Linked DNA regions of Xenopus tropicalis. The protein of the gene in region 2 binds, or shares a complex with, the protein of the main gene of each other region. Links are inferred from orthologs where the notes say so. Each region holds a gene or a part of one and is shown on either strand. Other genes may lie near its edges.

What was found.
Region 1: the proteins of eif2b4 (region 2) and eif2s1 are in contact, whole or in part, in a cryo-EM structure (PDB 6O81), measured with the Homo sapiens proteins. The link is inferred for Xenopus tropicalis from reciprocal best matches to the Homo sapiens genes EIF2B4 and EIF2S1. Residues at the interface, in NP_001029288.1 of Homo sapiens: Asn245, Glu246, Glu247, Arg250, Thr285, Ser520, Ser521, Asp522; in NP_004085.1 of Homo sapiens: Met30, Tyr33, Met45, Arg55, Arg57, Arg75, Glu79, Lys80, Tyr82.

Annotation. Positions count from the first base shown.
Region 1 is NC_030684.2:119,231,283-119,235,745, reverse strand, and holds the start of eif2s1 (eukaryotic translation initiation factor 2 subunit 1), read left to right. Parts: upstream 1-1,510; 5' UTR 1,511-1,595; intron 1,596-3,552; exon of another isoform or gene 3,553-3,555; 5' UTR 3,556-3,556; coding exon 3,557-3,797; intron 3,798-4,463. Other genes in the region: atp6v1d (V-type proton ATPase subunit D), read right to left, coding at 1,053-1,093. UniProt on the Homo sapiens protein: Member of the eIF2 complex that functions in the early steps of protein synthesis by forming a ternary complex with GTP and initiator tRNA. This complex binds to a 40S ribosomal subunit, followed by mRNA binding to form a 43S pre-initiation complex (43S PIC).
Region 2 is NC_030681.2:161,940,579-161,944,915, forward strand, and holds the start of eif2b4 (translation initiation factor eIF-2B subunit delta), read right to left. Parts: upstream 3,037-4,337; 5' UTR 3,001-3,036; coding exon 2,967-3,000; intron 1,395-2,966; coding exon 1,354-1,394; intron 1-1,353. UniProt on the Homo sapiens protein: Acts as a component of the translation initiation factor 2B (eIF2B) complex, which catalyzes the exchange of GDP for GTP on eukaryotic initiation factor 2 (eIF2) gamma subunit.

The DNA.
Region 1 (4,463 bases), on a different chromosome or scaffold from region 2:
AGTGTGTAACTGTGTGGGTGAGTGTGTAACTGTGTGGGTGAGTGTGTAACTGTGTGGGTGAGTGTGTAACTGTGTGGGTGAGTGTGTAACTGTGTGGGTGAGTGTGTAACTGTGTGGGTGAGTGTGTAACTGTGTGGGTGAGTGTGTAACTGTGTGGGTGAGTGTGTAACTGTGTGGGTGAGTGTGTAACTGTGTGGGTGAGTGTGTAACTGTGCGTATATAGTGAGGCTGCCGCACTCCCCAGCCGACACAAGTGCATGGGTTTGGCTAGTACTATGCAGCCGGCTAGCAGCTCCCATATCCCCCAGCCTAACATGGGCTCACTAGCAGCAATGGCTGGGCGCTCAGGGGCAAGGGGTGCTGGTCCCCCCAAATGGAAAAGGGTGTATATCATTAATTAGGATGTCTCAGGCCTCTGCTGAACTGCATCTCCCACTATCCCACTGATGGCCTTTAGCTGCCATTGCATGTATGTATATCTTTATTTATAAAGTGCTACTTATGTACGCAGCGCTGTACAGTAGAATACATTAATACAAACGGGGTTATTAAAATAATAATAGATAAATACAAAGTATAACAATAAATACAGATAAATACAAGATACAGTTGCAATAAGTTAAGAGTCAAAGACACAGAGGATGGAGGTCCCTGCCCTGCAGAGCTTACAATCTATATATCCATTAAGGTAGTGGGAGTTGCTGAAGGGCCCCAGGTAACAGCTGAACCCTTACACAGAATGCTTTGCCTTTGCTGCTAGTATCTGTTCCTATCCCACCCTAAACCCAAGCCAGTGGGTGAATATCACACACACACATTTATCTATCTATTTTATATATATCTTTATACACTACAGGGATCCCCCCATCAACACATACCCCTATGAGCCATTTGCCTGCCTGTAACCCCACTGACAAATACCCCAAAAGATTATAACCAACAAGGGACATCTGTGGCTCTAGTTATTGCAGAACTACAGATCCCAGAATTCCACGCCAGCAGATGCCCAAGCCCCCGATCACGGGTATATCTGACCGTATCACCATACTTACATCCTGGAAGGGAACACCTCGATCCTGTCCTTGCCCGACATCTTGACCTGCGATCTGCTTCTCCCCTCACTGACACTCGGATTCCTGCGGCAGAACCAAGAAAGCGAGAGATTGTCACGTGATCCAGGAAGGGAGGGCGTGGTTCTGTCACCTGAACATCTCTCGTCATGTGATCCGCAGCAGACGGAAAAATGCTGCGCCTGCGCACGAAGAGCGTTTTGAACTGTATTAGCTTGTCAGACGTTTTATGGGTTTCTGCACCCACATCGGAATATTTTATTCGTATTCCTTTTTTAATATGATATGAGTTACACGAAACAACATTTTAAAGCGATAATGTTCCATCTTCAATATGGCGCCCTGTAACCTCCTAACCCCGTAATGGTAGCACCGACTTCCGCTTCCGGTGTCAGCGCTGTAGTTGTGGGGTTGCGCATGCGTGTTGTTCTTTGCCGGAACGCATGCTGATGAAATAGTGCGGCGTGAGCTGAAGGAGCCCGCCCGGTGCCAACGTTCTGTTTGATCGTAGGGAACATCAGCCAAGTAAGGCTCCGACTCATGTATCTGTTCTAATAGCCGCCTTGGCCGCTCTGCTGTGGAGCTTTAGCGGCGTGGAATCGCCCTTCTATAACTATCTGTACAGGCTAGCGCGGGACACTGGGAGTTGTGGTTCTACTGTAGTTGGATGGGAATTCCCTGCAGATTCCTGTAAAACGTGTTAAAGCGATCTACCCACCCTTATACAAACGTGCTATGGCTGCTGTATATGTACGGTGGGTAACATCTCGCCTTCTAGCTGTCCCAGAACCATCTCCCTGCTGGGGCCTTTGTTAAAGGGGAATTCTCCTTAAAAAAGAAAGTGTGTTTTCTATAATGAAAGATAATGTTCTGAGTAACTTAGTTTACATTCATTGCACATTGTCAGGAAACTTGAACTTATTGGGACATGTAACGGGAATTAAAGCAGTGTTTAGCCTTTACTGTTCTCTGGTTCTGACTGTAGGAACATTGTAGCAGAATTCAGTTCTCCTCTAGATTTGTTTACCTGTTGGCTTGTGCTACATTGTTTCAGGAGTCAGAGCCAGCAGTGCAGATTATATTGCTTTCAACCTGCTGACAGCCAGCTGTTGTTGAATCTGCAGCCCTCAGCAGTTGGTGGATGCTGGCACTTGAAGTACACAGAGGCCCAAACATCCCCAATAAATAGTAACTGGCTATTACAGGGGTCCCCAACCTTTCTTACTCGTGAGCCACAGTCAAATGTAAAAAGACTTGGAGAGCAACACAAGCACCATAAAAGTTCACGGAGGAGCCAAATAAGGGCCAAAACGTTAGTGGCCGATTGAACGATCTTTCATGCGACCAAAAGATCTGAAATCGCCACGTGTGTGGCCACCTTAAGAGGAACTCCATCCAAACACAATTTAATCCTTTTGAAAAGTAAACCTAATTTTAAGCAACTTTGCAATATACATCAATTAAAAAAATATGCAGCCTTTGGAACCGTTACCTAAGCCTGGCCCCCTGTTCTCCTGCTGATCTGGCTGGCAAAATGTAACCGTAGTCAACTGTTCTCAGCCTGCAGCCTCCAAATCCCACAATTCCCTGCACATGTGATGTCAGTAAGGAAAGGAACATCGTGATGCAATGCATTGTGGGTTAGTTCCTGCATGCTGTCTGTAAGCGGTGGAGAAGTTGTTACAATTTGTAACATCAGTGTTTTAGACTTTCCTCCACACTCAGGATTTGAAATGATGCAGAAAGAGAAGAAATGTTTTGCAGCATATAAAAATGGTATTTATTCATACTTTTTGAAGGAACAGATGACAGTGATAGGTATATTAGGGGTTTCTGTGTTGCGTGGGGCTTTTTAACAGATTTTGGTTTGGAAGCCAGAGTCCCCCTTTAATTGCATAAATAAAGCAAATTTAATTGTACATAGCAGTTCTGCTATGTCTTTATCAAACATGTTCATGATTTTAAAGTTTCGATTAAAAGCAGTTTCTCTCTGTCACTTGCTATTCCATGCTAAATCCCTTTAAAGGGAATTGGTCATTCTTTTGTCAAAAGTCTCTGGTCAGCTAAAAAAAAACTGCAGAGCTGCTCTGGTACACAACTAAATCTGCATGTAGCCGGTTACAGGTTTGGACCTTAGTCTGTATCAGCCTTTGAGTCGGTCCAGTTCTGTGGTTCCATCATATTGCATGGATTACATGTGATTTCTGTAGGGCTGTTTAAAGTAATAATATATTCCTGCTGGGATTGTATCCGCATGGTCTAAAATGCAACTGAAGCACAGGTGGAGGGGCCAAACTGTCAGGTTATATGCATGGGCAGCTTTAATAAGGCATGTCCTGCCTGACCAGACTGATCAGAGGGTTGGTCAGGGTAATGGCTACAGAAGATGATGATGACGAATAATAGAGTACCTGCATGTCAAGCACCAAGAATAGATTGCAAGCTGAATGAGACAGGGTTTAAATGTTACTGGTTCTCTTCGCAGGATGCCTGCGTTAAGCTGTAGATTTTACCAACACAAGTTCCCGGAAGTGGACGATGTTGTCATGGTGAACGTCCGGTCCATAGCCGAGATGGGGGCTTACGTCAGCCTCTTGGAATATAACAACATTGAGGGCATGATCCTGCTCAGCGAGCTGTCTAGGAGGCGCATCCGATCTATCAACAAACTTATTAGAATTGGCAGGAACGAGTGCGTTGTGGTGATCAGGGTGGATAAAGATAAAGGTAAGCAGTCTAAAATAGCAGTCAATGCTCCTTAAAGGGATAGTGACATGTTCTAGGTTTTAACAAACACTGTCCCTATGCTTACAAAAATGCCCCCACCCCAGTTGGTTACCTTTTTTTGTCACTAAACTGCTTTGCACAAGGCTGGGATGTTAGTGCTGGGGGGGAAAGTCCTGCCAGGCTGGAGAACAAATGGGGGTACTTTTGAAATGGATGATTAAACAGGGTATGTTTTTATAGGCATAGTGACACATTCCCATTAATACCTGCTGCATGTTGCTGTCCCTTTAAACTTGGGGTTCTACCACCAATATTGCTTCAAGCTACACTGGCAAGTTCCACTCTGAGGTTGGAATCATCAGTTTGGCATAATACATAGCACCATGTTCCTCTGTAAGGGAAGGCCAACCCCATGCCATCCACAGGTTTACTTTCAAGTGCTGCCCTCTTACTGTCCTGGAGTAGTACCTGCACATTCCTTCTTGTCTCTTTGCTGAGGGAAAGTTACAAACTACTGGCGAGCTCCAGTCCAGATGTAACAGTAACTTTCAAAATGTGTTAAGTATCTGATTGAGCTTTAACCTGAGCTCACTTAGCAATATAAGAGCAGCATTTGAATTTTTGAAACATGCACCATTCCCGGTGGGGGAAGAACTACTGACAGTC
Region 2 (4,337 bases):
GCACACTACCCCCCCCCAAGTATGAGCCAGACTGGGCATCCTGGCACACATGCTGTGTATATAGGTGCCCACTCAGCTCCTGCCAGAGACACAGTATTAGCACTGGGGGGCACACAGCCCCCAAAGTATGAGCCAGACTAGAGGGCCCTGGGCATCCTGGCACACATGCTGTGTATATAGGTGCCCACACAGCTCCTGCCAGAGACACAGTATCAGTACTGGGGGGCACACTACCCCCCCCCCCAAGTATGAGCCAGACTGGGCATCCTGGCACACATGCTGTGTATATAGGTGCCCACTCAGCTCCTGCCAGAGACACAGTATCAGCACTGGGGGGCACACTACCCCCCCCCACCCCCAAGTATGAGCCAGACTAGAGGGCCCTGGGCATCCTGGCACACATGCTGTGTATATAGGTGCCCGCACAGCTCCTGTACCAACAGCTCATTGCAATCAGTGGTGGTTGGGAAGGTTCTGGAGATGCCAAGCCCCGCCTACACTCCCCACGCTCCCCACAGCTCCTGCCAGAGACACAGTATCAGTACTGGGGGGCACACTACCCCCCCCCCCCAAGTATGAGCCAGACTGGGCATCCTGGCACACATGCTATGTATATAGGTGCCCACTCAGCTCCTGCCAGAGACACAGTATCAGCACTGGGGGGCACACTACCCCCCCCCCCCCCCAAGTATGAGCCAGACTAGAGGGCCCTGGGCATCCTGGCACACATGCTATGTATATAGGTGCCCACACAGCTCCTGCCAGAGACACAGTATCAGTACTGGGGGGCACACTACCCCCCCCCAAGTATGAGCCAGACTGGGCATCCTGGCACACATGCTGTGTATATAGGTGCCCACTCAGCTCCTGCCAGAGACACAGTATTAGCACTGGGGGGCACACAGCCCCCAAAGTATGAGCCAGACTAGAGGGCCCTGGGCATCCTGGCACACATGCTGTGTATATAGGTGCCCACACAGCTCCTGCCAGAGACACAGTATCAGTACTGGGGGGCACACTACCCCCCCCCCCCAAGTATGAGCCAGACTGGGCATCCTGGCACACATGCTGTGTATATAGGTGCCCGCACAGCTCCTGTACCAACAGCTCATTGCAATCAGTGGTGGTTGGGAAGGTTCTGGAGATGCCAAGCCCCGCCTACACTCCCCACGCTGGGGGCCCCCTGGTACTAATCTATAGGGTACCCAATGGATCAGCTCCCCTGTAAGAGACCTATGAGTAACCCAATGGCATTACAATAGGGCAACGCCCTGAATGCCCAAGCCCTCCCATCAGGGTGAGGGTGGCACAGAGGGGCACACAGTGACCAACACGCCCTGCAGGGCACCGTACCTTGGCATGGTGAGACTCTGGCTTCTTTACTTTACCGCCACCTGTAGGAGAAATGGAGAAACATCACATCTACCCGCCAACAGGGGTAAATCTAAATGGCACCCGCATGGCCACGCCCACACCCCAAACTCCACCCCATTTAGAAAGGAGCCCTAATGCTTTTATGGCAGACCAGACCTTCCCCCCCCCCCCCATGGGGAAACTAGTGCTTATAACTGCAGCTCCCAGCATCCTCAGCCCGGCATCCTCAGCCCGGCATCCTCAGCCCGGCATCCTCAGCCCGGCATCCTCAGCCCAGCAAACACCGAGACGCCATGGCAGCCCCAGCTCAGACTTACTATATCCAGTCTGAGACCTTCTCCATTCTGCTGAACTACATTCCCTGCCAACCCCTCCCTGGCAGCTGGGTGCTGGGAGTTACAGCCAAACAACAGGGCACAGCTGATCAGTAAAGGGCCTCTATGGCCTGTTAGAAAATTTCTAAAGCCCAGTGGGTCAGATACAGAGATATCTCTGCGCCATTGTGACCCAATCACCCATAGTTTATAGAGAAACAACTCCCAGCAGGCTCTGAGCTGCACTCCCTGCTCAGTTATTGGGGAAGGTCTGCGTGGCACAGCCCTGTGGGTGCTGGGAGTTATCCTACTAAAGCCCTTACACCGGGCAGGAGGGGCAGCATGGCTTCCCTGGCACAGCCCTGTGGGTGCTGTACAGACAGGCAGGCCAGTGGGATGATGAATCAGTAATTACCCTGCTAAGGGGCAATAACATACAGTGAGGCACCAGTAAGTGCTGGGACAGACTGGGGGCTCAGGGGTCGGGGGACAGGGGCCCATACTCAGGGGTCGGGGGACAGGGGCCCATACTCAGGGGTCGGGGGACAGGGGCCCATACTCAGGGGTCGGGGGACAGGGGCCCATACTCAGGGGTCGGGGGACAGGGGCCCATACTCAGGGGTCGGGGGACAGGGGCCCATACTCAGGGGTCGGGGGACAGGGGCCCATACTCAGGGGTCGGGGTACAGGGGCCCATACTCAGGGGTCGGGGTACAGGGGCCCATACTCAGGAGTTGGGGTACAGGGGCCCATACTCAGGGGTTGGGGTACAGGGGCCCATACTCAGGAGTTGGGGTACAGGGGCCATACTCAGGTAAAGGCAATGGCAGAGAGGGGTAACATGGCGCATATATGTAACATCTGCCCTGGGGAAGGGTAAGTGGACTCTTCCTGCCCTGGGAGGGGTAAATAGCATATGGTTATCACTGGCAGGGTAACTGGCACCTGCTAGGCCAAGGTTGGGGGCAAACAGCCTATGTCTGTCACAGGGAGGGGCAACAGGCACTTTGCTGCCCCATGGAGGTAAGACTGATACACTCCTGCCCTAGGTGGGGTAACTGGCACACTCCTGCCCTAGGTGGGGTAACTGGCACACTCCTGCCCTAGGTGGGGTAACTGGCACACTCCTGCCCTAGGTGGGGTAACTGGCACACTCCTGCCCTAGGTGGGGTAACTGGCACACTCCTGCCCTAGGTGGGGTAACTGGCACACTCCTGCCCTAGGTGGGGTAACTGGCACACTCCTGCCCCGCTGAGGGAGAGACCCCCAATCACTTACCCTGCTTGTGGCCGCTCTCCCCGCTCCCCTCCATGCCGGCCCGACTGTCACTGCTCCCCAAACTCACAGCGCATGCGGACAAATGACGAAATGCGCGGCCATCGCTAGGGCTGCAGTAACCCACCAATCAGTGAGCTGCAATGCAATGACACACACCATGTGCTGTCACTCTGCGGCCATGTTTTATATGGGCAAACAAGCGGAGAGACGCACGACTTCTAGTACGGCGTGCCCATACAGTGTCGCACTTTAGCTACGAGTCCGGACGCCATCTTACGTACGGGCAGATAATGCGTGAGATTGTATTCGCCTCCTTATTTTACGGTAGGGCCGGGCATGCTGGGAATTGTGGTCCTTGGTGGAATCTAGTCAGGGCCAAGCGGTAAGTTGGAAAGGTACTTAGGGTGTCCCCAGCCAGTGACTGGGCATATGGCAGGAAAGCACAAACTTCTGTCATAATATGTGTGGGTTACACAGCGAGTAATTCCCTCTGCCATTTAACATTTTATTCTTCAACCAACAAATGTATTTGTAGCTGTAATATTGGTGTGTAGGCGCCATCTCAGTGCCTTGTGCCTGAGTCTGAGCTTTCAGCCAGCGCTACACATTAGAACTGCTTTCAGCTAACCTATTGTTTCTCCTACTCCCATGTAACTGGAGGAGTCCCAATCCGGACTTGGATTTCTTACTATTGAGTGCTATTCTGATACCTACTGGGAGCTGCTATCTTGCTCCCTTCCCATTGTTCTGCTGATCGGCTGCTGGGAGGGGGGGGATATCACTCCAACTTGCAGTGCAGCAGTAAAGTGTGCCTGAGTCTGAGCTTTCAGCCGGCGCTACACATTAGAACTGCTTTCAGCTAACCTATTGTTTCTCCTACTCCCATGTAACTGGAGGAGTCCCAAGCCGGACTTGGATTTCTTACTATTGAGTGCTATTCTGATACCTACTGGGAGCTGCTATCTTGCTCCCTTCCCATTGTTCTGCTGATCGGCTGCTGGGGGTGAGGGGGGATATCACTCCAACTTGCAGCGCAGCAGTAAAGTGTGCCTGAGTCTGAGCTTTCAGCCAGCGCTACACATTAGAACTGCTTTCAGCTAACCTATTGTTTCTCCTACTCCCATGTAACTGGAGGAGTCCCAAGCCGGACTTGGATTTCTTACTATTGAGTGCTATTCTGATACCTACTGGGAGCTGCTATCTTGCTCCCTTCCCATTGTTCTGCTGATCGGCTGCTGGGGGTGAGGGGGGGGGATATCACTCCAACTTGCAGCGCAGCAGTAAAGTGTGCCTGAGTCTGAGCTTTCAGCCAGCGTTACACATTAGAACTGCTTTCAGCTAACCTATTGTTTCTCCTACTCCCATGTAACT